Linked DNA regions of Macaca fascicularis. The protein of the gene in region 4 interacts with the protein of the main gene of each other region in a pairwise test. Links are inferred from orthologs where the notes say so. Each region holds a gene or a part of one and is shown on either strand. Other genes may lie near its edges.

The links.
Region 1: the proteins of TNS2 (region 4) and CRKL interact in a two-hybrid assay, tested with the Homo sapiens proteins (2 studies listed by BioGRID and IntAct). The link is inferred for Macaca fascicularis from reciprocal best matches to the Homo sapiens genes TNS2 and CRKL.
Region 2: the proteins of TNS2 (region 4) and SHFL interact in binary tests that used the Homo sapiens proteins (3 or more experiments, as listed by UniProt). The link is inferred for Macaca fascicularis from reciprocal best matches to the Homo sapiens genes TNS2 and SHFL.
Region 3: the proteins of TNS2 (region 4) and OTX1 interact in binary tests that used the Homo sapiens proteins (3 or more experiments, as listed by UniProt). The two-hybrid records come from large-scale screens. The link is inferred for Macaca fascicularis from reciprocal best matches to the Homo sapiens genes TNS2 and OTX1.
Region 5: the proteins of TNS2 (region 4) and KPRP interact in binary tests that used the Homo sapiens proteins (3 or more experiments, as listed by UniProt). The two-hybrid records come from large-scale screens. The link is inferred for Macaca fascicularis from reciprocal best matches to the Homo sapiens genes TNS2 and KPRP.

The regions. Positions count from the first base shown.
Region 1 is NC_088384.1:31,890,980-31,896,778, reverse strand, and holds the start of CRKL (crk-like protein), read right to left. Parts: upstream 3,849-5,799; 5' UTR 3,323-3,848; coding exon 3,012-3,322; intron 1-3,011. UniProt on the Homo sapiens protein: May mediate the transduction of intracellular signals.
Region 2 is NC_088393.1:10,630,625-10,636,439, reverse strand, and holds the start of SHFL (shiftless antiviral inhibitor of ribosomal frameshifting protein), read right to left. Parts: upstream 3,490-5,815; 5' UTR 3,379-3,489; coding exon 3,358-3,378; intron 2,886-3,357; coding exon 2,762-2,885; intron 2,564-2,761; coding exon 2,514-2,563; intron 2,339-2,513; coding exon of another isoform or gene 2,200-2,338; intron 158-2,199; coding exon 119-157; intron 1-118.
Region 3 is NC_088387.1:58,900,474-58,906,476, forward strand, and holds the start of OTX1 (homeobox protein OTX1), read right to left. Parts: upstream 3,445-6,003; 5' UTR 3,377-3,444; intron 3,023-3,376; 5' UTR 2,954-3,022; intron 1,378-2,953; 5' UTR 1,269-1,377; coding exon 1,172-1,268; intron 167-1,171; coding exon 15-166; intron 1-14. UniProt on the Homo sapiens protein: Probably plays a role in the development of the brain and the sense organs. Can bind to the BCD target sequence (BTS): 5'-TCTAATCCC-3'.
Region 4 is NC_088385.1:59,842,167-59,847,528, reverse strand, and holds part of TNS2 (tensin-2), read right to left. Parts: exon of another isoform or gene 5,359-5,362; coding exon of another isoform or gene 5,284-5,358; intron 4,125-5,283; exon of another isoform or gene 4,094-4,124; intron 3,692-4,093; coding exon 3,583-3,691; intron 3,092-3,582; coding exon 3,054-3,091; intron 2,157-3,053; exon of another isoform or gene 2,142-2,156; coding exon 2,103-2,141; exon of another isoform or gene 1,978-2,102; intron 1,784-1,977; coding exon 1,745-1,783; intron 1,598-1,744; coding exon 1,548-1,597; intron 1,293-1,547; coding exon 1,121-1,292; intron 225-1,120; coding exon 174-224; intron 1-173. UniProt on the Homo sapiens protein: Tyrosine-protein phosphatase which regulates cell motility, proliferation and muscle-response to insulin. Phosphatase activity is mediated by binding to phosphatidylinositol-3,4,5-triphosphate (PtdIns(3,4,5)P3) via the SH2 domain.
Region 5 is NC_088375.1:108,420,518-108,426,665, reverse strand, and holds KPRP (keratinocyte proline-rich protein), read left to right. Parts: upstream 1-2,595; 5' UTR 2,596-2,624; coding exon 2,625-4,364; 3' UTR 4,365-5,020; downstream 5,021-6,148.

The DNA.
Region 1 (5,799 bases), on a different chromosome or scaffold from region 4:
AACAATGCAAGCCACCAGTCCTTAAATTTCGAGTAGGACATTATTGTTACAAATTTTAGCTATGCAAGATAAACCAAAATATTAGCCAAGAGGTATTAAATTCTGGCTTTAAAAGCTCAGTTTTGATGCCTGAAAAGTTAAGCCACTAAATTTATCCTGTTTGGGATGTGAAGAAGCATTACACTGAGTTTTCCGTTTGGCAAGGCTCTAGTAGTCACTAGCTTTCTATAAAAGGCTAATAACATGTTAGGGCTAAGCCATGAAAACCAGGCTTGGGAGTGGCAATTCGAAGATTCAGTATAACAAAGTAAATTCAGTCAGTATCTAATTCAACCAGCATGGTGATCTCCTTCAGAGATACCTAGGAAAATGAAAAACTAAATTAAAGCAACAGGCCTGAGGCAGAGGGCACAGAGAAGGAGAAACAAAGCTGAACGTGTGGGGGAGGGTCAGAGAAAGGCCCTATCATCTGTGAAGGGACTGGAACAACAGGTAGGATTTCAACAGATGGAGAGCGAGGTGTAGTTAAGGCAGTCAATGAAGAGCCAACAGCTGGAGCAAAGGTGCAAAGGTACAAAGGTATGAGTAAGGAAGGATGGCTACCAGGGAATAAGTGAGCAGCCTAGTAGAGCTGCAGTAAAGGAAGGACGAGAGGAGGCAAAAACAGAATTACATGCTTGTTCTCTAAGAAGACACATGCATGTATGGAAAATTTGGAGGCGATTCTGTGGATAGACAGAAGCAGCATACTTCTTTTCCTCCCTCTAGAAAGAGATTCAAGCCATTAACTCACTTTTTTTCTTTCTTTTTTCTTTTTTTTTTTTTTTTTTTTGAGACAGAGCCTCACTCTGTCGCCGGGCTGTGCAGTGGCGCGATGTCGGCTCACTGCAACCTCCGCCTCCCGTGTTCAAGCAATTCTCCTACCTCAGCCTCCCCAGGAGCTGGGATAACAGATGCCCGCCACTACGCCCAGCAAATATTTTGTATTTGTAGTAGAGACGGGGTTTCACCATGTTGGTCAGGCTGGTCTCGAACTCCTGACCTCGTGATTTGCCTGGCTCGGCTTCCCAAAATGCTGGGATTACTGGCGTGAGCTACCACACCCCGCCATTAACTCGCTTTTTGAAACAGCTGTATTATTAGTATTCATCACCTCAACGTAAGTACATGCATGGCTTAATGAATGCCTGGTATTAATTATATAATTCACTCTCACAAACGAGATGAATAATTTATTCAATCATACTACAAATCTCACTACAGTGGGTTCTAAGATTCTCAACCCCTTAAATTGGAATTATATTGTGCTCAAAGTTGACTGCAACTACCAGCATCTGCCAGGAACCGCATGTTTCACCAATCAGATTCTTGGTGTCCTGGTCTTTGTTATACAGTATTTGATTTATAATCACTTTCTGCCCACTTTTAAAGTCCATTTAGTTCAGTAGTTAATCTTAAAGTCATTATACTATCATGGCTTCTTTTTCTATCTCTATCTCACTATGCAAACAGTTCGTGTCCTTAATTATAATAGCTTTTAATGTTTAAAGTTTAGAGTAATACCCGGTCGACAAATCCATAAAGTCATAAACATTTAACCCTGGAAAAACTGCATCAACACCCAATCCTTTTAAAACAGATGTTTAAGAAATGAACTGGCCAGTTTGTTACTTTAAAAATTCTAGGCAACTTTTCAACTCAAATTTGGGATAATTTAAATAAAAGAAACCTCTGATAAAATCAAAGTGTTACAGGGCAAACACAACAATAAAAACAAATCTTTGTTAAAATGCTTAAGGCAAATTAAAGCAACTAATCAATTAAAATAATGTATTTCACTTGGAAAAGAGACTACTTGGTCACTTTGCATTAATTTAAAAATAAGAGATACTAAGTCATTAGACTTAACACAAAAAGCACGTCTGAAATTGAACTAGGATACAACTCAGTGTAATTCAAAAATTTTCCTTAATAACATTTTAGCCTAATTCCACCTTGGAAATTAATCAGACTAATCTCTGGCCTACTAATGGTCCTTGGGGAGAAAATATTAAATACATTTTCCAAAAATATCCTCGCTGAAGCCAATGCACCTTATCTTTGTGATTAACGTACTATAAAAGTGGTGGTGTCTGGCCTGCTTCAAACTTGGCACCACAGTATCAAATATATAGTTTTGATATTTTGGTTTCATTTTGTCGACTGTTACAAAGGCTGCAGTCCTGGAGTTAACCTGGAGTTCAGAGATTTGGAGGGAGTACAAGAACCTGGGATAGTGTGCAAACTTGTGTGTACGTGCCTTTGGCGAGGAGGGGTGGGGCTTGGGTGGTGAGTGCTCGGCTATCTCCAGATTCTCAAAGAAGTCTATGGCTAAAAACGGTTTTTGGCCGGGTGCGGTGGCTCATGCCTGTAATCCCAGCATTTTGGGAGACCAAGGCAGGGGGATCATGAGGTCAAGAGATCGGGACCATCCCGGCCAAAATGGTGAAACACCGTCTCTACTAAAAATACAAAAATTAGCTGGGCGTGGTGGCGTGAGCCTGTAGTCCCAGCTACTCGGGAGGCTGAGGCAGGAGAATAGCTTGAACCTGGGAGGCCCTCGGAGGTGGCATTGAGCCGGGATCGCACCACTGCACTTCAGCCTGGCGACTCCGTCTCAAAAAAAAGGTTTTTAGGAAAACCAGCAAATCCCTGCATCAGTATTACACCCAGAGAAAGTCACGAAAGGCAAAAAGCGTGCATTTTATGCCACCCCCGTTAAACATTTAAAACGCATCCTCCTGACATTGAGAAACAGCCTCATGAGGAAAACACAAAAAACAAAAACGCATCCTCTTATCCAGTGACCTAGATCCTGACACTAGCTTTCCATTAGGAAGGCCTTCTGGAAAATAATTTGGTTCAGAATGGGGGGAATATGGGTTCAAGCGCGCCCCACCTCCCTACACAAACACCCTTCGACCGACCCGGTTATCGACCTTCCTCCGCGGTCGGGGCGGGCTCTCGCGTACCTGGGCGCGGGTTCGATGAGAGTGGTGGTGTCCAGGTAGTGGATCTTGTAAAACTCCAACAGGGCCGGCAAATGGTCAAACTCCTGGTCCCCGATCTTAAAACGGCGGTTGGGCAGCGAGTTGATGATGTAGTGGGAGACCCGCGAGTTCTCGGACACCGACAGCACATAGTCCCCAGGGCAGGTGGAAGAATCGCGGACGAGGAACATACCGTGGCGCTGGCCCTGGAGCCGGGTCTGCGCCTCCTGGCGAGACACCGGCCCCATGTACCAGGCGGAGCGGTCCGAGGAGTCGAACCTGGCAGAGGACATGGTGTCGGGCCGGGGACTCTGCGGCGGTAGGGGCGGCGGCTGTCCTCGCCTGCTCTGCACGCCTTAGCCCGGCAGACGGCTTTGGGGCCGAGGAAGGGCCTCTCGCACACCTCGAGGAGCGCTCAGAGGGCTGGGCCAGCACTTTCCTCTCGGCTCCAGGCCCGCAGCATCCTCCAACGTCGCCCGCCTGCTCCGGGGCCGCCTCACGGAGAGCCGCCCGGGAATGCAGGGCAGAGCCGGGGGGTCAGGGCACGCAAAGCCGAGCCGCAGCTGAGGCCACCCCGGGGTTCTCGGGCTGCTCGGCGTCCCAGGGGTGCCTCCAGTGACTCCCGGCCTGGAACGCGCCGGCGTCGCAGCTCCACGGGTCTTCACCGACCCCCGCCGTCACACGAGGCACCGAACTCGAAGGAGCGTCGCGCCTCCGGGGTGGTTTTGCCCAGCTCGTTCCCAATAGCTACAGCAACAAAATGGCGGACGCGGGAGAAGCGGCAGCCACCTCCCCCTGCGCTCAGCGCGCTCCGTCTGCGCACGCGCGGAGCCCCGGCTCCCGGCGGCCGCCGGGGCCCTTCCGTGGCGTCACACAATGCTGCCAATGAGGAGCACCGTCACGACGATCTGGGTGGGCGCTGGTCGCGCCCGCTCCCGCGTTCCGGGAGGAGGCTGAAGAGGCGCCGGCGGTAGGCACTCTCTTCCTGGGCCGCTGCGCGCCGCTGGGGGCGCTGCGGCTGCCGGGTCTCCCAGCGCTGGCAGGAAAACAGCTGGAGCCGAGAGGGAGCGGCGTGTCGAAAACCTGCTTCTGGGAACAAAGCGTAACGTGCAGGCCGAATCGCGGGCCAGGGAGGCGTGGCACTGAGGCGACCTGGCCAGCCTAGGGGCCTGAGGGAGCTCAAGAAGTGACAGGTCACGATGGGCCGAGGTGGCCCAGTAAAGGGATGACCCCAGGGGCAGATGTGACTACCAGATAGGTGACTGAATGACTCAGTCCCCAGGTGGCTTGATAGGCTAAGGAAGCCCTAGTGGCTACGTGACCCGCTAAATGGAGAGAGAGGAGAGAGAAGGTGGGGGTTAGATTGACTCAATTAAGTAGTCAAGGCAGGCCACAATTGGGTAACCTGGCCATCCAGGGCTTTGAACTGTTGAAGGTAAAATGCAAACGCCTCTCGGGCGTGGCCCGGAGGCTTCGCCTGCCCTGGATTATGCCTGCTTCTCCCTATTTATTAATCCCTATTTGTTTTTGTTGTTTTCTATTTTTATTTATTTATTTATTTATTTATTTATTTTGAGACGGAGTCTCGCTCTATCCACAGGTTGGAGTGCAGGGGCGCGATCTCGGCTCACTGCAACCTCCGCCTGCCGGGTTCAGGCGATTCTCCTGCCTCAGCCTCCCGAGTAGCTGGGATTACAGCCATCCGCAGCCATGCCCTGCTAATTTTTGTATTTTTAGTAGAGACGGGGTTTCACCATGTTGGCCAGGCTGGTCTCAAACTCCTGACCTCAGGTGATCTGCTTGCCTCAGCTTCCCAAAGTGCTAGGATTACAGGCGTGAGCCACCGTGCCCGGCCTGTTTGTTTTATTTTGTTTTTGAGACAGGTTCTCCTTCTGTCACCCAGGTTGGAGTGCAGTGGAACTATCATGGCTCACTGCAGCCTTGATTTCTGCATCTCAAGGGATCCTCCCACCTCAGCCTTCCGAGTAGCTGGGACTACAGGCTCACGCTGCCATGCCCAGTTAATTTTTTTTTATTTTTAATAGAGACGAAATCTCACTATGTTGCCCAGGCTCGTCTCAGACTCCTGAGCTCAAACAATCCTCCCCCTCAGCCAAGATGTGAGGCGCCCGGCCCAGCTATGTATGAAATAAGCTAATATATGCAAAGTGCTTAGAATAGTACCTGGCACATAAGCATCATATGAGTCTTCCATTATTATTATTCACTCGTTCCCTGGGCCTGTACCTTTATAGCCTAAAACCCTGAGCATACCCTCGGTGGGTGAGGGAGGAGAGAAAAATCTCCACTTCGTTTTCTAACTGCTTTTCACTGTCAGATTTACCATTTAATAATCACCTGCTCCTTGCCCAGCGTTTTTTCTGTTTTTTTGTTTTGTTTTGTGACCGACTCTCGCTCTGTAGCCCAGGCTGGAGGAGTGTAGTGGCGCAATCTCGGCTCAGTGCAACCTCTGCCTCCTGGGTCCAGGTTCAAGCAATTCTCCTGCCTCAGCCTGCCGGGTAGGTGGGATTACAGGCACGCACTACCATGCGCAGCTAATTTTTATATTTTTGGTAGAGACAGGGTTTCACCATGTTGACCAGGCTGGTCTTGAACTCCTGATGTCATTATCCACCCACCTCAGCCTCCCAAAGTGCTGGGATTACAGGCGTGAGCCACTACCTGTAATCCCAGTGGTGACTTAAAATTATTTAATTTTTTGTAGAGATGAGGTCTCACTGTATTGCCCAGGCTAGTCTGGAACTGCTGG
Region 2 (5,815 bases), on a different chromosome or scaffold from region 4:
GACAAGTCCTCCTCCTGCCCCAGTGAATATCTCCCCTCCTGCCCTAATGGACATCCTTCCGTGCCTGCAGATGTCGCCCTCCCCACTTCCCCATCTCAAGCCCTAGCCGCCAACTCACCTGAATGTCCCGGTCCTGTTTCATATCTTCTGGTGGATCCTGGGTGGAGATAGCAGGGGCAGAAACTGGGATGGGGCTCAGGCCTCTTTTCCACCTGTTTGCTGTGTTGGGAGGGCCCCGGCCGCAAGGAGAATAGGGTGCCCCTAGCTCGCCAGGAGCTCACAGAGCACTGCCCACATATTGAGAGCCAGGTGTGTGGCCTCAGTTGTCCTCATAGCAGCCCTGAGAGGTGGGCACACCTGTTACCTTATTGCTCAGATGGGGAAACTGAGGCTTAGGGGAGGGCTTGCCTGTGAGGCCAGCCTGACCCCCGTACTCACTTCCTGCCTGCAAATGCCACATGCTTGTTGGTGTTGTGACAATATCGCCCCTTTGAGGCCACGTTGTGCTTGGCTAAGTGGTGGGGATCTGGACTGAGAGATGTGGGTTCGAATCCCAGCTCTATCACTTCCAGCTGTGGGGACTTGGACAAGCCACTCCCTGCCTCCTGGGTTCCCACTGACAGGCATGTTAGAGCCCAGACTCTGACTCCAGGTGGCCAGGGTTCAAATCGCAGCTGCCACCTGCTTGCTTCGTGAACCTAGCAAGTGACTTCATCCTCAGTTTGTCTGTGAAATGGGGATAAATAACAGGACCTGTCTCCTGGGGTCACTGTGGCGATGAAATAAATCAATTCCTGGAGTCTTGCCATATGGGAAATACTAAATGAATGCTACCCTCTGCTATTGTTATTATTATATTTTTGAGATGGAGTTTCACTCTTGTCGCCCAGGCTGGAGTGCAATGGCGTGATCTCGGCTGACTGCAACCTCCACCTCCCAGGTTCAAGTGATTCTTCTGCCTCAGCCTCCCAAGTAGCTGGGATTACAAGCATGCACCACCACGCCCAGTTAATTTTTTGTATTTTTAGTAGAGACGGGGTTTCACTATGTTGGCCAGGCTAATCTCGAGCTCCTGACCTCAAGTGATCTGCCCGCCTCAACCTCCCAAAATGCTGGGATTACAGGCGTGAGCCACCGCACCCGGCCCCTCTGCTATCATTTTTATCATACTTTTATATGTATAAATGTAGACTATGATACATATTTTACTATCCTCTGGGTTTTTTTGTTTTTTGTTTTGTTTTTGAGACGGAGTCTTGCTCTGTTGCCCAGGCTGGAGTGCAGTGGCGCGATCTTGGCTCACTGCAAGCTCTGCCTCCCGGGTTTACGCCATTCTCCTGCCTCAGCCTCCTGAGTAGCTGGGACTACAGGCGCCTGCCACTACGCCTGGCTAATTGTTGTTGTTGTTGTTGTTTTGTATTTTTAGTAGAGATGGGGTTTCACCATGTTAGCCAGGATGGTCTTAATCTCCTGACCTCGTGATCTGCCCGCTTTGGCCTCCCAAAGTGCTGGGATTACAGGCGTGAGCCACCGCGCCTGGCCTTTTTTTTTTTTTTGAGACAGAGTTTCGCTCTTGTTGCCCAGGCTGGAGTGCAATGGCGTGATCTTGGCTCACTGCAACCTCTGCCTTCCAGGTTCAAGCGATTCTCCTGCCTCGGCCTCCCGAGTAGCTGGGATTACAGGCATGCGCCACCATGCCCAGCTAATTTTGTATTTTTTAGTAGAGACAGGTTTCTCCATGTTGGTCAGGCTGGTCTCGAACTCCCGACCTCAGGTGATCCGCCCGCCTCAGCCTCCCAAAGTGTTGGGATCGCAGGCGTGAGCCATGGCGCCAGGCCTATTATACTGTAACAGCCCTACACTGAGCCTTTCAGGCAGGCGAAATCCACAGTGTTCCCATCACCAAAGCTTTCGAAGAAGCAAAGTAGCCATGATGCACCTGTGCTTCAAAGCCATTCATTCATTCATTCATTCATTCATTCATTCATTCATTCATTCAACACAAAGGTTCCCTTCCCCTCCCTCTCTCTCCTCCCCAATCCCCTGCTCATCCCAGCCTTTCTAGAGACTGACACTAACAACCCTTCCCCACCTCCCAGCCTTTGCTCATGCCATTCCCTCCCACACCCTAAGGCCCCTGCCTTTCTTTCCCTTTCCCCTCCCAGGGCTCACTCCTCTCCATCCTTTAAGACTTGGTACCTCCTCCTCCAGGAAGTCTTCTCTGATCTCTGCCCCCCCACGATGGCCATAATCCTGACTCCTTTCATTGCCTAGTTTCATGGCTGTCCGCCTTTGAATACAATCAGCGCATAATGAGCGCCTACTGTTTGCAGGCTCCCTGGCCGGACAAACGATAGAGAGGTGAAAAAGTGATATTGGGTGATGAGTTACAGACCGACAATGCCTGGTCCCTCCTGTTTCAGAGAAGTGTCAGTCACCATGAACCGGTCGGGTCCCCCCTCTTGCTGTCCCTCCCGTGACCCGGTCCTTTGCGAGGGGAGGGGACAGGTTACCTGGGCATCCAGATCGTTACTTAGTTCTTGGCCATCTTTTTGCTTTACCCCTGCGGGGGAGAGTGCGTATAAGAGAAGGGCCCTTGAAGGGTCTGTGGGAGTTCCAGGCCACCCAGAGCCGCGATGCAGAGCCTCCCCGAGGCTGGGACCTCCGGGGGAGGTGATCTCAACGCCTCTCCCTAGACCACGCCCCCTCGGCGCTCCCACGCGCGGTCTCCGCACCAGGCCCGGGACCCCAGCAGCCTCACCGTACACGATGGAGCGCCCAACTCCTGTGTGGTCGCTGCCGAATTTCCTCATCAGAGCCCCCGCCTTCTTGGAGGATACCTTCCCATGAAACTTCTCCCGGAGGCGCCGGACGCTCTTCTCCAGCTGGGATGGGGACAGGGGGGTTCCGGTGGGCGAAGGGGAAGCGCGATCGTCCCTCCCCCATCTCTAGGCACCGTTCTCCCGGCCTGAACTTGACCCTTGGTTTTGGCCTCCGCCGCCCCCCCTTTCATCCCTCTACGGCATTTCCTGGAAAAAGCCAAAGTCCCCACATGGCGCTGGGGGAGGGCGCGGACTGAGGCGAGCGTCCCAGCCTAAGGTGGGGGGGCGGCCAGGTTATCTCTGGCCTCTGACCTTTGACCCTGCAGCCCCCGCTTTTCCTCGGAGAGGCCTCATTTCGCTCTGGGGAAACGTGGGAGTCACTTTCCTTTTCAAGGGGGGTGAGCGCCAGGCAGGGGTAAAGATCTGGGGTTCTAGGATGGGGGTCCCCAGGAACTGCGAAGCCCCCTCCGCGCCTCTCGGCCGCTCCTCGGAGTCTGTCGCGTCTGCCCCCGGCCCAGCCGTAGCCATCTCTTACCTCCACACCTTCCTGAGACATGGTGGCGGCGGCGCAGGTCCCCGCGAGGGTCCGCACTGCGCGGTTCAGCCGCCCCCCTACCTGGGCGCGCCCGTCGGTCCAGCAGCCGCGCAGGGCAGGGGGCGGTGCCTCGGGGCCGGCTCCGCCCTTCCTCCCCAGCCCCTGTTTCGCTTTCGATTCAGGGGGGACCGGGCGCGCTGGCTCCGCCCTGGCTCCGCCTCTGCTCTTGCGCCCCAAACCCAGGCGGTCGCCCCGGGTCTGCACCCTGCGGCGGAGCGCGCAGACCTCGGGCGGGGGAGGCGGCGCGGCCTCTGCAGTCGGTCACATGTCCCCACGCTGCGCGGGGTCCGCGTCTTCACGTCCCTCGTGGGGGCGGGGCCGCATCGGAAGGCCGCGGCGAGGCCCCGCGCCCCCCCACCCAGCGCGCGCTCCCCCAGTTCATCACCCTCCTCTCTGTCCTCCCTCCTTCCCCGGGAATCTGGCGCTCATGAGGACCTGGGCGCTTTTCCTGCCCTGAGTCTCTGTCCTAGCTAGGGTCACCTCTCTGAACCTCAGTTTACCCCTCTGTGAAATGGGGAGGATCCTGGTGTCTACACCATGGAGTGGAGTATATGCCAAGATTCCCGAGTGGATCGCGTAATAGCGCCTGGCTTGCAGTAGGCACTCAACTAGTCACTGGGCCACCTGCTGTGTGCCCTTGATAGGGGCAGGCAGTGTGTGTGTGGTTGTGGGGAGCGGTGCTTGAGAAAAACACAGATTCTTGGTCTCTCGTTGCCCGGTAGAATCCGGCTGTCTCAGGGATCCAGGGAATCTGCAATGGTTAAGAACCCCGTGGGCTGGACAGTTCTAACCCAGTACAGGGCGCATCAGGGAGCCGTTAGGTGGTGGGGCTCTGGCCCAGCCTGGGGACACAGAGATGGCTACTTCATTGGAGGAGGGGATGCTTTGTACAGTCACTGAAATTGGAGGTCTTAGCTCGGGGACGAATAGAGTGGGGAGTTGAGGCAGCCGTGCAGAGCCCCCAAAACAAGACTAAGTCTGGGGCTTTCGGGCAAGGGCTTCTCAAGCCCAGCACTCTTGACACTTTGGGCTGCCTGGTTCTTTGTGTGGGGGACTGTTCTGTGTGTTGGGGGACATTTAACAGCATCCCTGGCCACTGCCTGCTAGATGCCAGTGGCTCCTCACTCTCCCTGTTGTGACTACAAAAAATGTCTCCAGAGACTGCCAGATACTCTCTGAGGGGCAAAATAGCATTGTGTTCAACGACTCTAAATTTTTTTCTCCATTGCACACCTCTATAGGTAAAACTGTTAAAATTACACCCCCAGATGGATATTTATTTATTTATTTATCTTTTGAGACAAGGTTTTGCTCTGTTGCCCAGGCTGGAATGCAGTGGTTTGAATACGGCTCACTGCAGCCTCGAACTCCTGGACTCAAACAATCCTCCTACCTCAGCCTCCTAAGTATCTGGGATTACTGGCATATGCCACTATGCCTGGTTAATTTTCAATTTTTTTTTTTTTTTTTTTTTTTTTTTTTTTTTTGTAGAGACGGGGTCTCACTATGTTGCACAGGCTGGTCTCAAACTCCTGGCCTCAAAGATGGATTTTTTAAAAAAATTTATTTATTTGTATTTATTTATTTATTTATTTTTTGAGAAGAGTCTCCCCCTGTGGCCCAGGAATGCAGTGGTGCCATCTCGTCTCACTACAACCTCTGCCTCCCAGGTTCAATCGATTCTGCTGCCCCAGCCTCCCAAGTAGCTGGGATTACAGGTGCACGCCACTACGCCTAGCTAACTTTTGTATTTTAGGTAGAGACGGGGTTTCACTATGTTGGTCAGGCTGGTCTCGAACTCTTGACCTTGTGATCCGCCCGCCTCTGCCTCCCAAAGTGCTGGGATTACAGGTGTGAGCCACTGAGCCCAGCCAGGATATTATTTAAATTATATACAAATACAATTATATCAATATATTCTGTAAATTGTTACATAACAGTATCTTTATTACAGAAATATATATTCTTTTTTTTTTTTTTTTTTTGAGACGGAGTCTCACATTGTTGCCTGGCTGGAGTGCAATGGTATGATCTTGGCTCACTGCAACCTCTGCCTCCCAGGTTCAAGTGATTCTCCTGCCTTTGCCTCCCAAGTAGCTGGGATTACAGGTGCCCGCCACCATCACTGACTAATTTTTTGTATTTTTAGTAGACACGGTGTTTCACTATGTTGGCCACTACATGTGGTCTGGAACCCGTGACCTCATGATCCTCCCGCTTTGGCCTTCCAAAGTGCTGGGATTACAGGCATGAGCCACTGTACCCAGCCAAAATATATGTTCTTTAGGAAACAAAAAATTGTAATCTCAGCTACTTGTGAGGCTGAGGCAGGAGAATTGCTTGAACCTGGGAGATGGAAGTTGCAGTGAGCCAAAATCATGCCATTGCCCTCCAGCCT
Region 3 (6,003 bases), on a different chromosome or scaffold from region 4:
CGGGGAGTGCGCACCTGGACTCTGGACTCCGGCAGGTTGATCTTGAGCGCCACCTCCTCCCGCATGAAGATGTCAGGGTAGCGAGTCTTGGCGAAGAGCGCCTCGAGCACGTCCAGCTGTGAACGCGTGAAGGTGGTGCGCTCCCGCCGCTGCTTCCGTGGAGTGGCTGCGGGGACACGCGGGGGCGCCGCGGGTCATTGGTGGCCACGCGGACCAGCGATAGAGCACTCGGGCAGGCCCCTGGCAGGCCCAGAGCTCGGCCTTCGCAAGAGAAAGCCGAACTGGGAATAAAAGACACTCCCTCGGGCGGCCGAGCCTGAGAGGCCACAGGTGGGAGAAAGTGCAGATGTGCGACTAGAAGCCAGTGTCTCCAAGATTCAAGGGCTGCCCCTCTCTATGCCTCTCAGAGGTTAAAAAAAAGTAAGAGAAGTCTACAATCTCCCTTCTTCCACATTCCCCCTCCCCTGCGCGCGCGCGCGCGCGCGCACACACACACACACACACACACACACACACACAATCTCTCTCTCTCTCTCTCTCTCTCTCTCTCTCTCTGGCTAGGGGACAGGGAGTGGGGAAGAGGTAGGCAGAAACACGACCTGAAAAACACTTTCGGAGAAAATAAATGGGGTAAAGGAGCCGGAGCTAAAGAACCCCGGGTTTGGCTCAGGTCGTCCTCTACAGCAGTGCAAAAACGGATGCAGGACATCAATTTAGAGGACAATTTAATTAGGAAGGAAGAATACTCCTTCAGTCCAGCCTGCCGCTTCGCATAAGGAAAGTTTGGCTCTTTCTGTCAGGGCCTAACGAGTGTCCAGATTACTCATTCCATGTTGGGGGAAAAGGAAAAACACTAGCCGCCCCTGGGTAGCGAATCCGCAGGTAAATGAGCTCTGCGCTGGTGGTGGGACCACAACAGGAGAAAGGTTGCCGGTGACCCGGCCAGGAAGGCGCACATTGCGCGTTTTCTCAGCCCTGGCCACCTCACATGCCCACGACTCTGCCCCGTGCGCCAGCAGTGGGCCCTGTATTGTAAACAGGCAGTGGGCCCTGTATTGCAATAGCTGACTCCCTGGGCCTGCTCGGCAACAAAGCTTGCACTCAAACCCAACAGTCTGGGGGGCCCCAACATTGGAGAGGCTGAAGCAGGGTCGGGAGGGCTGGTGCTCACCCGGATAGCCCACGGATGGGTGCAGGAGGTCCATGGCGGGCCCAGCCAGGCCCAGCCCGTTCATGCCGTATGGGGGTTGTTTGAGGTAAGACATCATGCTAACAGCTGGGTGGAGGCGCCCCGACGGATCCAGGGGACCTGGGGCCAGAAGCGGTGCAGGGCTCCCACCGCAGTCCTTCAGGGTCTGATGCGTCTGGGGGCCTGGCCTATGAAGACACGAGACACACGGAAACCATCAATCGGAGCCACTTGGCTGCCAAGTCTTGCCCCGGGATAGACAGGGAAGGCAGGTTACAGAACTGCGCAGGGTGGTCAACTGGAATCCACAAGGCCTTAGCCCAGAAACCACAGTTGCTTTGAAAAGTAAAGTTTTCTGGGTCGTCTGGCTCCAGCGTTGGAATGAGCCAAAGACACTGGTAGGGAGTCCATAGGAGTAAGGAGAAGTCAAAGCCAGGCCAGGCTGGGGAGGTCAGAGCAAGAACCGCGGAGTGTGCAAGCTCCCAAGTCCAGGCAAAATTCTGAATCCGGCAGAAGCCAGCTTCATGTTGCACAAGCAAACGTTCACTTGGTGCCCGGACGGCAGGCCTCCCGGAGCATGAGGGGTTGTTTCATTTTGTTTCACGTGTTTTTGAAAAGGTAGAGACTACAAAGGGCCAAGGTGAGGCAATGTGGAGGGCTAACCGCACCTCAACCTCTTGTCCACTTAGGACACTTGGTTCCTTCAAAGGTCTCCAGGGCTGCGCCCCTGCCCCAGAGCCCGCAATCACCATTCCAGCTGACCTCTCTGTGCCCAGCCACTGAAAGATCGCTGACGCGAAATCCCACCACACCTCAACCGCAGTAACCGGCCCAGGCCTCGCAGAGGGCCAGGGGACGCCGAAGAGGCCACTGTAGAGGGGGGCGACCCCAAGACGCGGCCTGAGGTCGGGAGCGTCTCAGCTGCGGCCAGCGTCCTTCGTTGCCAGCGCGCACCCGGCCTTCTCTGTCCAGTCTGTGCTGCGGACCACAGGGTCCCAGCAGGGGGTGAAGGGTGACTGACCTAGCACCTCAAAGGGTCTCGGGGATTTGCAAAGCCGGAGGGCAGCAAGTCCCGTGCTGTCATCCTTGTAGCTGAACCCGCGGCCCCAGGACACGGTCGAGAACAGAGAAGTAGGCCTCAGCGGCATAGCCCACGCAGACCCGAGCTGGGAGGTGGAAGCCTCGCCCCCGCCGCTGCCGGGAACCCGGGGCGGCACTCTCAGGGGTCAGGGAGGGGCGCTGGAAACTGGGCCTGGGGCTCTGGGGGGCCATTGCTACACCCCGCTTAGCGGGATCGCTGTGAAGCAGGCCAGGGACTCGGGCTAGGACGTTCAGGGAGAGAAGTTAGAGCTAAAGAAGCTCCCCCCTGCCCCGTTCCCACCCCGGTCTTCTGGGATCCAAGACCTGGGCTGAGGGAGTCCAGCTTGTAGGAAGGGGACGAGAAGAGAAGCAGCCAGGGCTCTAGGGCCGAAGAAAAATGGGACTCAAAGCTGCGACGGCTTTGCGAAGCTGCAGCGTGAGTTTTCAAAGACTTTCTCCAAACTTAGCACTTCAGCTTGGTTACTTCGGAGGAGGCGGGGGAGGGAGCGGCGGGCCGCGACAGCGCCCCGGGGTCCTCGGCTCACCAAGAGGGGAGCTAGGCCGCTCCCCCAGCCCCGCCCACCTGCTGGTGACCGGGGAAGTGGGGATCCATTTGAGGAGGGGGAGGTAAGGGTAACCAACGCGCTCCCGGAGTCCGGGATGGTCCCGCGGCTTTCTCCTTACCTGCCCTCAGCTGCCGGGGACGTTCACCATCTACCTGGATCTCTCACAGAGACCCGCCGGGCAGCCAACCTGCAAAACAGAGCGGCACAGGAATTACCCCGGCGGCTGGTCTAGGACCCCGGGTTTCTTTCTTTTCCCAACTTCCTTCCTCCCACCTCTATCTTTTTTTTTCAGTGGCTTTGTGCGTGTCCCTCTGGGTTTCACTTTATTGCACAGACACTTTGTTTGCTAAGCCCCACACGTTCTCAGGCAGGACATTGCCTCGCCCGGAATCGCGCCGAGGGGCCGCAAGGGGGGGAATTCGAGGGCAGAGTTGGGAGGTGGCTCGGCGTTACCGCGGCACTCCCGGTGCAACGTGGAGGCAGTGGGGACTGGGAAGTCCTGCAGAGTCACTTTGCAAACTAAATAAATCAAGCGATTTACCTTGTCGGAGTGGCTTGTCTTGCTCGGTTGTTTAGGTGATTGGAAATGTAGCCTGATGAAGATTGATCACCTTTCTACTGCCCTCCCCGGGTATGTGAACGCGAGGCGAGTGCGTAACGGGGCTAGGCCGCCAATCGGGGGCCCCGCGCGGGCTGAGTGACAGGGAGCCGGGCAATGGCAGCGCGAGCCGGGGGTTACCTCCGCGCGCCCCCGCCCTCCCCCGCCCCCCACACCCCGCCCTCCCCTCCCGCCCGCCCCGCCCCGGTCGCGCGCTAACTCCGGGACTCGGCTGGCAAAAGCGGCTCAGAGCTAGGCGAGGAAGGCGAGCGGAGAGCCCGAGTCCTGGCCGCGGAGGGGGCCGCGGGTCTCCAGGCCTTCCCTGGGCGCCCCCGCCCTTCTCTCGCGCTCTCGGCGCTCCGGAGGGAGTGGCAGAGACGAGGAGAGGTGCTGGAGAACCGGTTCCTTCGCTCTCCTGCGCGCCACCGGGCTCAGCCGCCCGGGTGTGGGCGCCAGGACCCGGGGGCGGCGGGCTGGAGGAGCCCGGGCCTCGGCCCCTCTCCTGGCGCCGCGGGCCCCAGCGTTTTCTTCCTCTGCACCGCCACCTGAGACCGACGCCGCGGGCGGCTCGTGCCGGCGCAGGCTACTTTGCAGAGCGCGGGAGCAGCTCCGGGCGTGCAGATCTCTCCTCGGCGCCTCGGGACTCTCGCGCCTGGGAAGAGCACCCACTGGGAGGGCACAGCCACTTACCTGCTCATCGGCATCTCCCGGGGTTCCCGGTCCCCACCAAGGGTGTTTGCAAGCCTTAAGCGCTTCTTCTGAAACGTTGGAGCCCAGCGTCCTCTTGCCCTCACATGTACACCCTACTTCTTAATTCAAACATTTTGATAGGAAAGTTTCTTTTTCATTCTTTCTCTCTCTTTCCTAGTCTGCCTCTAACAGGGACTTTTTGATGGAAAATGTGGCCACAGACCCCTGCCCTCAACTTTTTTCCACATGCTGCGTAAGGAGCCTCCTTGAGGCGATTTCCCCGGATTGTTCGTACGGGCGAAGCCCATTTCCCAGTGGAACAAACTTCCCAAACACGTCTGCCTGGGTGGACTTTTAAAAGTGCAAAAAAGAGTTTTCGTTCCAACTCTGAGCTAGGAGAATCTTTTAAATGGCACCTCCTTCTGAAAATTAGGCACTTTATTCCCTTTCGAGGAATTTCTACCCCTTGTTTCTAATCTCCCCACTCCCCCACCCCGACAGGCGGGGTAAAAAGTTTGCACAGGAGTAAGTGTGAGGGCGAGTCAAGGAGCCTCCAGGCGCATCGCAGTGGGGAGCACCCGTGCTGCCCAGGCTGCGGGGTCGGGCGCGGAGAGCAGACAGGGCGCTGGGTGAGGAGGAGGAGAAGGAAGGGGGAGCCCGCTGAGTGAAAAGGGGCCGCGGCCGCCGCTCATCAAAGTGCTTCCCCCTCCCCCAAGCGACACTTTCCTTTGGAGTCCGAATAAAATACGGTAACAGAATATGATGGAGGGCACACTGTTTCCTTAACTGCTTCTCAAAGGACCCGGGAGATCTTCTTAGGACCTTTAATAAGGCTTTGGTCGGTTCTTTTGTTGATCTCTCAAAATCAACTCCTTCTAATTGAAGTTGGAGCTGAAAGCGAGCTAATGTTCAAAGAAAGTGGCCGCCAGACCAACGAAATTACATTTTTTTTTTTTTTTTTTTTGGACGATGAGGGAACATCTAATCAAAGGGGCAGGGGAGGAGGGGTGGGAGTTGGGGCGTACGAAGGAGAAAAGGAGGTTTTACAAGATCCTTCTCTGGTTCACAAAAGTCAGCGACACGGGCGCTTCTCTCCAGAACAAAGACACCGCGGCCCATTCACAAAAGGGAGAGAAAGCTGAATAAAGAACGAGAGAAATGGGAAAAAATTAGAGAGAGAAGGAGGGAGAGAGTGAGTGAGAAAGAAGCTTTAAGAGGAAAAGAAACAGCGCAGAGCGCAGCGCTAACCCAGGCGGGCACACACCTTAGGCTCGCGCAGGCCCCTACCAGGAGTAGCCCACGAGGCCCGCGGTCAGCCACCCGCGGCTCGGAGCCACTGTGATCGTGCTGAGGTTTAAAGAAAGCAACGAAATATACCCTCGCCTTAGGTTCCGAGGAAAGGCGCAGGCTAGAGCGCACTAGTTTTGGGGAAAAGAACATGCGGACGTCCCGGGGTGCGCATCGTCGGCGTCTGCGTCCATAGCCCGGCGCTGCCCCAGTCCGGGCCAGTCCGCTGTGTGCAGGGGTTGGCCCTCCAGTGCGGGGGCGGGTGCCCTTCCCCATTCCTCCACCTTACGCATTCCTCCCTCCACCAGGCCCTGTTTCGCCTGCAGCCTCAGCACCTGACCTGGTCCCGCGCGGCGAGGTGGGACGGCAGTGCGCGCTGGAATGTGCCCGCGCGGTCCCCGGGGCACGCCTCGCGGGAGTCCGGCGCTCTCGGTTCCAGATGCTGCCACCATTCTCGGGGAAGTTGGGAGGTATCAAGTAGCACGGATTTTTTTTTTTTTTTTTCCTAATGAGAGTATTTATCTAATCCCAAATTGCAGGCGAATTTTCTTAACGCTCAGCCCATAAAACCCCAGGATTAAGAAAAGAAAGAG
Region 4 (5,362 bases):
TGATACCTGCTGCATCACGTTTTGGGGTGTCTCCAGTAATATGTCATGCGAGAGGGGGAAGGTGCTTAAGAGTGAAGTAGATGCCAATCGCTACTATTAATAACGAGGAAGCTGGGGGCTTCTGGGGTAGGGGTGGCTTGGTTTAATGACTGGGCAAGCCATTTCCTTCATACCTTGGGGTTTAAGCGGGTCAGGTCATGCCTTTTCTCTGAAAGGTTGAAGAGCTGAAATAAAGGGGGAGGGCTTTAGACAGAAGGGACCTCCGGCAATGAGGCACGAGGTGGAGGTGGATCCTAAGTTAAGAATCTTCCTCTAGGCCGGGCGCGGTGGCTCACGCCTGTAATCCCTGCACTTTGGGAGGCCGAGGCGGGCGGATCACGAGGTCAGGAGATCGAGACCATCCTGGCTAACACGGTGAAACCCCGTCTCTACTAAAATACAAAAAATTAGCCGGGCGCAGTGGCGGGTGCCTGCAGTCCCAGCTACTCGGGAGGCTGAGGCAGGAGAATGGCGCAAACCCGGGAGGTGGAGCTTGCAGTGAGCCGAGATCGCGCCACTGCACTCCAGCCTGGGCAACAGAGTGCAGACTCTGCCTCAAAACAACACCAAAAAAAAAAAAAAAAAAAAAAAAAAAAAGAAAAAAAAAGAATCTTCCTCTAAAACAAAGTGCAGGCCTGGCGCAGTGGCTCACGCCTGTAACCCCAGCACTTTGGAAGACCGAGGCGGGCGGATCACCTCCTGGGCAACAAAGAGAGACCCGTCACCAAAAAAAAAAAAAAAAGTAAAGAAAGAAAGAAAATAAGAAGGTAGTTAAGGCCCGGCCTAGCCAGTCACAGCCAAGTCGCCAGCGCTCCTGGATACTCCGCTCCGCTCCAGGCGCCACTGCGGGCCCCGCCCCCGCCCCACCCTCGCCCCCACCCCACCCCCGCCCCCGCCCCCACCCCACCCCCGCCCCCACCCCACCCCCGCCCCCGCCCCCGCCCCCACCCCACCCCACCCCCACTCCTCTGGTCCCGCCCACTGGCGGCCTCGCCTCCACTGGTGACGTCAGTGATTAGCCTCGCCCATCTGGACCCCACGCCCCTCTCATTGGCTGACTCCTGATGGCCCCGCCCCTCACCAGGTACTTGTCCCGGTGCTTGGATTGCAGCACGTGGGCCAGCTCGCGCAGGTGGCCCCGGTGCCGCTGTTCATCGGGCCGCGCGGGGAAGGCGGCGGCCAAGATGCGCTCCGTCACGTAGGTGAGGTCTAAGTCCCAGCGCCGCTCCATGAGCGGATCCAGGCTGAAGCTCCTGGGGAGGGGGAGCCTACGCATGAACGCAGGGGCAGGGCACCCGGAGGTGGCTAGTGTGATGGGAAGGCTGTCTGTTGGGCAGCAGGTGAAGCCTGGTGGGTCCTGAGGGTGGGTGGGTCGGTCCGGAGGGAGAATACCGCTTTGGGGGTGGGGGGCTGTCCCGGGGAGCTTTGTTGAGGGGCAGCGCCCTGGGCTGAGGTGTGGGGCCGGTGGAAAGGGGGTCACGTGGGACCACCCCAGCACCCTCACTTACCTGGGCAGAGTGCTTCGCTGCTTTGAGTGGTTCAGAGATTTGGTGGATCCCTGGTGGATAACAGACAGTGTCTGGACATCTCTTTGGGTGCCCCCTACTCTAGACTGCCCACTCCAGAGCCACTTTTGTCTTCAGGAAATCTAGATCCTTACTCCCAAAGCTACCTGCTTCCCCCTCCTCCTCCAGCATCACCTTACCAGGTGCTCTATGCGCCTGACTGGGGCCGTGTTTCGCCGCTAGAGGGAGATGGGGGAGGAAAAGGGAGTGGTTACAGCAGGGGCAAGGACCACTGTGGGCCTGGGAACAGTGGAAGGGAATGTCAGTGTCCTGATGAAGGCTGTACTGGACAAAGGGAGAGGAGTTCTATCCCCAGCAGGCCCAAGGGCACAAGATCAGCAGAGGACTTAGACAGTTTTTTCTTTCCTTGTAGGATGAGCAATACCCACAGCACTACATTCAAGGTCATCTCCTGGGGGCCCTCTCTGGAGCCACCAGACCTCTGGACACCATGGCCAGGTTCCTTGCCTTCCCCACCCCATCCCAGAGCGCACTCACCAACTCCGCGGGAGGCAAGGCCTGACAGGCTGAAGTCACCTGGAAGGGGACCGAGTAAGGAACTGAGCTCCTGGTGAAGGGCTCTCCTGGGCTTGAGGATGGGGTAGCCCCTCAGCTTCAGGAGGAAGGTGGAGGGGCCTTCAGCGGATGGGCACAGGCTCCAGCTGAGGTTGTGCTATTTAAGGGCACCTCCCCTCTGGCCTCTTGGTCCCCCACCCCCCAGGCCCCCCACTTGTTGCTCTTGGCGCTCAGCCCCCAGCCCACACAGACCCCCATTCATCCAGCTGCAGGGCAGGAGTTATATATAGAGCACGCAGGCAGGCCATGGCCAGGGACGGACACTGGCCTCTTTCACCGGGAGACCCCGCCCCTGGGCACACAGCTCCCCCAAGCCAGCTCCAGGGCCCTGGGACCCTCCTTCCCTGCCCTGCAGGAAGACCAGGGAACCTCCTCAGAGATAGGGCTGTCTTGGGTGCCCAGTGGACAGTGGGTGCTATCTACAGCTTATTTCTGGAAAGGCCCAGTTTTTCCAGGGCCCAGGACAAGGCCCGCCCAGGCATTTTGAGGACCCTTCCCCAGAGGGAAGGCACAGCCCATCCGGCTGCCCAGTCTCTGAAATCCTGCTCCCCCACCCCCCACCCACCCCACCCTTCCTCCTCCTCATTCTCCTCCTCTTCCCCACCCCCATCCTCTCGCCAGCTGCAGCCTGGGCACAGCACCAAGACAAACGCTGTCTCGCTGTCCACCCGCCTGGGCCGGCCAGCCCTCCAGAAGGCGGAGTAGGGTGGTTCTTAAAGGGCCCAGTCAGCACCCCTCCCACCCAGGAGGGGTTCCCCAATGGTGAGAGGGGTGGAGGTGGAGGGTTGATGCCAGTGTGGTTGGAGAAGCCTGTTTGGGAGGAGGAAGGGACTCCAGACCCTCTCCCCCTATCAGGTAGAATCAGATACCCACCTTTGCTTCACATTTTCTGTGCGTCGCCACCTTGCAGACTAGGGGAGGTAGGGGGAGGAGAGGGGTTAGCAGGGGCCTGTGGGACAGTGGAAGGAATGGCCTTCCCTCATCTCCCAGACCCTGGAACCAGATCCTGGGACTTCCAGGATCCCAGCTGGACTGGGCTGGCTAGGGCGGAGGAGCAGGGCTAGGTTTTGAGGGAAGAGTGTGGCAGTGGGGTACTATTGCGTAGGCCAGGGGTAACGTTCCAGGGTGGGTGGAGGTGAGGAGGAAGGGAGGGAAGGAAGACTACAGTCACAAGTCAGGATGGGAAGATGGTGGAGAATACTGGGTCTCCTGGGTTGTCGGGGGTGTCTGTCATGGGGAGCCAGGGCCATCTGAAGGGGGAGGCAGCCGCCTCTTAGGTGCCATTGTGCCTAATCCAGGAGCAGCATATTACATTTGAGATTGTGTGAGTTGGCCTGCTGGAGTTGTGCAACACAGTGGTACTGGGTGGAGGGTCTCAGAGTCACAGGACAGAGCACCTCACCTCTGCACGAAACGCCTGTCCCATCGATGGTCACCTTACATACTGCACAGACTGGAGGTTTCTTCCGGAAAACCTTCTCCCGGAAACTATGAGGCTCAGCTTTCCTAGGCTGAGGGTGGAAGGACAAACAGAGGTGTGAGTTCCCAGTGGGCCCATCTCCATCTCTGGGACTGGGCAGGAGCCTTGCCTTAGCACTGCACTGGTTTCCTCCATCCAGATCAAGCCCTCAAACTTGTAGGACGCACTTGGCCACAGCTGCTTCAGGGCGGTCATTGGGCCTGTCCTCAGCTGTGTATGGAATCTGACCCCTTGCGTCACCTTTGCTGGGTCAGCTCCTCCCCAGGGGATCACTTGGGCCCCTCACGTGGCCCTGGTATGTGATGCCCTTGTGGAAAGCCCACATGCTCAGGCTTTCCCCCTGGTGCAGTAGGGGTACTCCCTGACTCTTCCCGTCTTGTCCTCCCTTCATAGAGACCTGTGTGCAGAGTGAGCAGGGAGGTTCCAGACATACCTGTTGTATGTCAGTCCTGCAGCACCAGACTGAGCCAGCAGGAGTGGCCTCAGCCAGTCCTGCTCCTTTAGCTCCTGCTGTCCCCACGCTCCAGACAGCTGACATGCCCTCCTCCCCCATGGTCAGAACAACATGTTTACTCATTGTGCATTGAGGCAGCAGACAGCAATTGGATAAGGGGGGTGGTCATGCTGGAGGGAAACAGAGGCCTGTCACTGGGAGAGATGTTTAGCTGGTTTTGGATGCTGTGAGCTCTCCCCCGACCCCCTGCCCCCTGGCACTTGGGATTCATTCACACACTGAATGAGGAAGGAGTGGACCAGATTCTCTGTTCAGCCCCTCCTGATCCAGAGGTGCAGTGAAGCAGGAGCCTGGGATGCCCCCTTATGGCCCAGGCCTATCTCAGTCCCTTCCCCTCCCACTGTGGGTTCACTCCTCCTATCCTCTGTCTGGGGACAGCTTGTCTCCTTGCCACCTCTCTGTTTTACCCATATTCCCCCTCCTCTGGAGTTCAGACTCCTGCTGTCCTCATCCTGGGGACCCATCACAGTAGTCTCTCAGGTTGTCCTGAGCTGCTGCTTTTGGGGCAAGGCTGGGAAGTTGGGAAAGGGAGTGATGGGGATGTGGGCAGCATCTCTGGTTTTTTGACTGTCCCTGCAACACTTCTGGGCTGGACCAACTTTGTGGGACCCACTAGGACACTTGGGAGCATGCAGGCATTAGCAGCAGATATGGATGCTGTCAGTGGAAAGCAAACCTCCAGTTCGAAAGCACTCCTGACTCCCTCTCCTCTCTCCTTTTCTGCCCTGCCACCCCATTTTCCTCAAACTTCCCCGGGCCCGGGAAGGGGCCTGATGATCTCTGAGTCTGCTCTAGGATACCTGGATAGTGCGTGGCAAAGTCCTACAGTGAGGTACCTGGGGCTTAGGTTTGGGGGGCCAGGACCCCCAGGGTTGACGCAGGCTAGAGCAGGGAAGGTGAGAGGAGCCAAAACAGACAGCGGTACCCACTCTAACCCAAACATCCCCTCACACTACAGCCCTGGCCACTCCGGAGGGGATGCTGGGCCAGGAGAGAAGGCTGAGGAAGCTGAAATTGGGAAGAGGGCCTGGCCTGATTCCAGGTCCCCTCCCCCACTGCCCACACCTCCACCCCTGCCCCTCTTTTGCCCAGCTGGTGGGCACTCCTACCCTGCTTGTGGCCCGGCTGCTGTCCCTCCTCCCCAGGGCTCTGAGCAGCCTCTCCACAGGGCCGCTGGACTTCATGGTG
Region 5 (6,148 bases), on a different chromosome or scaffold from region 4:
AACACCCAAACTATAGCAATGCCCTATCTAAGGTGGGCAGCTGCTAATCAGGATGATGGAAGGTAGGTTCAACTGTGCTAGATCTCTTCATTTTAGAAGAAAATCTGAATTTCTGGAATCTTAAATCTCCCTATTTTTAAATACTAATGATTAATGACAGTATTATGAGGGAAAACATAAAGAGCTGTCCATTTTGACTCTATGTGAGTCACAGAGTGCCAGATTATTATTTCTGCCCTGCACTGTACTGCCTTTAAGGGTTACTCCACAGTATACTACCTGCCTGGTGCTGCCTTCAAATACTGCTCTGCAGCATGGCTGAGCACCTGCTGTGCAGCCATCCACTTGCTCAGCTCAGGATGGGGAGGGAGCAGACACCCAAGACTCAGCAGTGCCTGTAGCTTATGGCCAGCATTTACCCTGAGTGTATTTGGGATATTTTAAACATCATTCTTGGATAGGTTTTTAAAAATATAATAATTGCCTTAATCCTCACAACAATCAGAAACAAGATTTAATTATCTCTGTTTTGCAGAAGAGTAATTTGATACTCAGGTTGGTTATAAAGGTTGCATAGCTATAACTACATGGCCTGGGATGTTAGACTCACCTCTGACCCCATGGGCTCATCCTTCTATAGAGTTGCCTCTATCTTTGAAGTAACTTAAATTACTTCAAGTTAGAAAACATTTCCTCTTTTTTATCACTCTGGTAAGAATCTGAAGCAAAGTGGAAGTTGGCAGATACAATCATCTTTTAGGAGAGAAGATACCTTTGCCACTCCTCATCTCCTGACCATCAGGTCTTCTAGGGATGGAGAAGAAACTGTTAGGGTAATGAAGGAGGAAGAAAACAAGAATCTGCTCTTCATAGTCCTGAGACTTCAACACTAAGACAAGACACTCCCATACTCTGTAGGTGACGGCAAGGGCAGGTACACAGGGAGGGAACCGGCTGCTGGAATGCCAGCCTGGGTGATGCGCCAGGCAGATGCCAACCAGCTGTCTCATGGCCCAAGCCAGACCCAGAACCCTTTATATAAAGACAGCCCTCTTCCCAGATGCCTCAGCCTGAGCGACTGCTTGCCTGTGAGGAGGGTGAGTCCAGGAACTGGATCCTGGGATAGGGGTGGGTGTGATGTTCGAGGGAGCCCAGGTTCACAGTAGTGAGGCACAAAGAAGGGAGAAGCTAGGAGCCGGGGAGGGCAAGGAGTGCATCAACCTGAGGAGAAAAGTCTGGTGAGCTTTTAGGAGACAGAAGCATAGCTATGGAGTTTATGAGATGAGCTAGGGCTGTGACTTCAGTGTGTTTGCCTTTGATAACCCTGACCTTATCCTCAGGTACCATTTCCCCTCATAATCTTTCTGGAAAAGGCACATTAGCAATTTACACCTTATGAGCAAAGTTGTGTGTGGAAGGGTTACCTTCCCCAGGGAAATAGATATGTAGGTATTCTCTATAAATTGAAAATGGAAGGTTTGAACCCTCATCAGGAGCATTTGAGGAGCTTATTGAAAGGCGTTTTGTTGGATGAGCCTGCTGTCAAATGATCTTGTTTTGCTGGTCAGTGGGCTGCCTGCAAATCCACATAAACATGTGGATCTGGGACAAGCAGTGGAGTGAGGCTGCCCTGTGCTCTCCCCGGCTAAGCGTGGTGTCAGGGTATATGCCTGCAGCCCTCAAGTCAGGTCTGCAATGCCCCAGTTGCATAGATGATTAAGTATGGCAGAATGTCCGTCTTCTGATTAAGAACCTTGGACTTTCTGGCTTACTCCATCTTGGGTAACTCCACCTTGCCTCTAAGAGGAGCTGGGGAAAAACATTTCTGAGGCCTGCAGGCTGTCACACTTCAGGTGATTAACAACAGCAACCTGATTGGGCGAGTTGCCATGGTGGTCAGAGTCTTTCCAAGGCTGGTGTGTTTTGCATGGGAAAGCTTTGCACGTGTCATGTTTAAATGAATTTATTACAAAACATTGTGTCATGTTTAAATGACTTTATTTCAGAACATTGTGTCATGTTTAAATGAATTTATCTAAAAACATTGAATATAAAGAAACAAACATTTAATGTTGGGTTTGAGCTGCCCACTTTCCAGTGAATGCTTTGACATTATGTGAATGCAGATGGTGTCGAGTGCTTATTCTCATATGTACATTTTTACATATTTGCACATGTATGTATACTGCCAGTGCACATGTATGAGTAAATCCTAGCTCCTGTGGGAGTGGAGTTTCCACTTTGGGCTACAGCCTTAGGAGCATGTTTTATCTCTACTTCCTGTAGGGCTGCTCAGACCACATTGGATGTGAGAAAGTGTGGAGACAAAAAGAGAATCCTTTTGTCATCAGTGCCCTCTTGTTCTGGGCATTGGTAGATCCTGGACACCTGCAACCCTGGATGTGCACAATCAAGCCCTTTGACAGACTCAGGGCAGGTTTAACAGATTAATCCTGGGTCCAACTAAGTCAGGACACTTGGGTGAAGGTTGAGGGTGGAGGAGGAAAAGCTAGGGAAAATGAAGGGTGTCTTCCTCTAGGTCCCAGCCCTCCCTCTCCAACTTTCATCTTCTTGACCCTGGTCTCTCTGCCCTCAGGTCACGCTCGACTGGCTGCATCAGAACCATGTGTGACCAGCAGCAGATCCAGTGCTGCCTGCCGCTCCAACAGTGCTGCGTCAAGGGTCCCTCCTTCTACTCTTCTCACTCCCCCTTTGCCCAGAGCCAAGTGGTGGTTCAAGCCCCTTGTGAGATGCAAATTGTGGAGTGCCCTGCACCATGCCCAGTTCAAGTTTGCCAGGTGACAGACCAGACTCCATGCCAGTCTCAGACCACACAGGTGAAGTGCCAGTCTAAGACCAACCAGGTGAAAGGCCAGGCTCCATGTCAGTCTAAGACCACCCAGGTGAAGGGCCAGGCTGCATCCCAATCTCAAACTTCCTCTGTTCAAAGCCAGGCTCCATGCCAATCTGAGGTGTCCTACGTGCAGTGCGAAGCCTCACAGCCTGTTCAGACTTGCTTCGTAGAATGTGCTCCAGTTTGTTATACAGAAACTTGTTATGTAGAATGCCCAGTCCAGAACTATGTACCCTGTCCAGCTCCTCAGCCTGTCCAGATGTATAGAGGGCGTCCTGCAGTGTGCCAGACTCAGGGAAGGTTCTCCACCCAGTGCCAGTATCAAGGCTCCTACAGCAGTTGTGGCCCCCAGTTTCAGTCAAGGGCTGCCTACAACAGCTACACCCCCCAGTTCCAGTCGAGGCCTTCCTACAGCAGCTGTGTCCCTCAGTATCGGTCCCGGGCTTCTTTTAGCCCCTGTGTGCCCCAATGCCAGACCCAGGGCTCCTATGGGAGCTTCACTGAACAGCACCGCTCTCGGAGCACCAGCCGATGCCTTCCTCCTCCTCGGCGGCTGCAGCTTTTTCCCCGCAGCTGTTCCCCCCCAAGACGTTTTGAGCCCTGCTCCAGCAGCTACCTGCCATTAAGACCCTCTGAAGGTTTTCCTAACTACTGCACCCCACCCCGCCGTTCTGAACCCATCTATAACAGTCGCTGTCCTCGACAACCCATTTCAAGTTGCTCTCAGAGACGTGGCCCCAAGTGCCGAATCGAGATTTCCTCCCCGTGCTGCCCCAGGCAGGTTCCCCCACAGAGGTGTCCTGTTGAGATTCCTCCCATCAGACGCCGCTCCCGGAGCTGTGGCCCGCAGCCCTCCTGGGGCACCTCCTGCCCCGAGCTGAGGCCACACGTAGAGCCACGTCCGCTCCCAAGCTTCTGTCCACCACGGCGTCTTGACCAGCGTCCAGAGTCACCACTGCAGCGATGTCCACCTCCTGCTCCACTTCCACGTCTGCTCCCAGAACCATGCATAAGTCCAGAACCACGCCCGCGTCCTCTACCACGACAACGTTCAGAACCTTGTTTGTATCCGGAACCACTTCCAGCACCACGTCCAACACCGCGGCCAGTTCCCCGTCCTCGCCCAGCGCAGTGTGAGATTCCAGAGCCACGTCCACACCTGCAGCCCTGTGAGCACCCAGAGCCTCGTCCACGGCCAGAGCCAATTCCCCTGCCAGCCCCCTGCCCAAGCCCAGAGCCCTGCAGGCAGCCTTGGCGCAGCCCCAGTCCGTGCTGGGGCCTAAATCCAGTTCCATACTCAGGAGACATAGGCTGTCATGAGTCTAGTCCACACCGCCTAGACACCGAAGCTCCCTACTGTGGCCCATCCAGTTATAACCAGGGGCAAAAGAGTGGTGCTGGCTGTGGGCCTGGTGATGTGTTTCCAGAGAGGAGGGGTCAGGATGGCCATGGAGACCAAGGCAATGCCTATGCTGGAGTGAAAGGGGAAGCAAAGAGTGCTTATTTTTAAAGGAAAGGTGACTGACACAACCCTGTCTCCTGCCTCTGAAAATGTTGTTCCTCCTGTTCCACAATTTCCAGTGCACTCTTGTTTGAATCTCTCCAGAGATATTCAGAGACTCCCTATTACAAAGGTGATGTCCAGACTCCTTTGTCTATCATCCAAAGATTCACACCTGGGTTTCAGATGCCTCTCCAGCCTCACGTGTCACTCCTCGCCTGTACACATCCTCAGCTCTAGCCAGACCAGTCTGGCCATCGGGCACAGCTTGGGTGTTTCCTGGGCCATACCTTAGATGACCCTGCCTCCAAGCCTCTGCTCACTCTTCCCCCCTCTTCCTGGACCACTTCTCTTCTCCTCCCCAGCTTCTGAAATCCAACCCATCTTTCACTGCATCCTCCGCACTACTTGGTAACTGCCTGGTGATATCTCTTGAATTGTTATTTCACTTTGCAGGCATATCTTTCTTATCTGCCCAACTAGGTTCTAAACTCCCAACTGAGTGGAGTCAGAGAATCTCTAAATCTCAGTGTCTATCCTGGGGCTGGCTGCTGCTTAGCAAGGCTTGTGGGTTGGTAACTTGAACCATGTTCTGTCCTGATGCTCAACTGTAGGAACTGAGGTGAGAGGAGGCCACGTGACAATAAAGATCATCATGTACTCACTGCCTGAGTCCTGAGTCATTCCTGCTTTTATTTCTTGACTTGCTGAGATGAGGTTTTTATTGTTGCTATTTTAAATTGTGATAATAAAACACATGTAACATGAAATTTACCATCTTCACCATATTTAAGCATTCAGTTCAATGGCATTAAGTACATTCACATTGTTTTGCTACCAGCACCACCATCTGTCCACAGAACTCATCTTGCTGAATTAAATCTTCATCCATTAAATAATAACTCCTCATTCCTTGCTCCTTCTAGCCCCTAGCAACCACCATTTCTGTCTCTATCAATTTGATGATTCTAGGTAGCTCATATAAGTAGAAAAACAGTATTTGTCCTTTTATGACTGGCTTACTCCACTTAGCATAATGTTCTCAAGGTTTATCCAAGTTGTAGCATGTGCCATAATCTCCTTCCTCTTCAAGGCTGACTAATATTCCATTGCAGGTACATACTATATTTTGTTTATTTGTTCATCAGTGGATGGATGGGCACTTAGGTTGCTTTCACCATTTTTCTTGTAGTAAATAGTATTGCAATGAACATGGGTATACAAATACTTCTGTGAATCCCAGATTTCAATTATTATGGATAGATATCTGGAAGTGGGATCACTGGATCGTAAGGCAATTTTATTTTTAATTTTCTGAGGAACTGCTATACTATCTTTCATAGTGACTACATTATTTTACATTCCCACCAACAGGGTACAAGTCCTAATTTCTCCACATCCTTGTCAACATTTGCTATTTTCTGTTTGTTCTCTTGTTTTGGTAATAGCCATCTTGATGGATATGACATAGTATGAATTTTCATTTTAATTTATTACCTTTCTTTTTTAGTTTATTGTACCCACGGTGTGAGCTTTTTAAGCCTACACCAAGTGGGTTGTCTTGCGGGTTTTCAATCTTCCCTCAGTTTCCTTGGCCCCAGATGGAAAGGACGAAGAAAAAGGCAAGGGGATGAGGAAACAGGGAGAATAACTCTGCCCCCTGGTCTGGGAGTGAGAGACTTCAGGCCTGGATTTGGTGAACTGGGTTTTGCCTAGCTCTAGGGCCATAGTCACAGCCTTGTTGCCTCTGGAAAAGAGGAAGGGAAGAATGAAGTACCTGGAGGCTCTCTGGG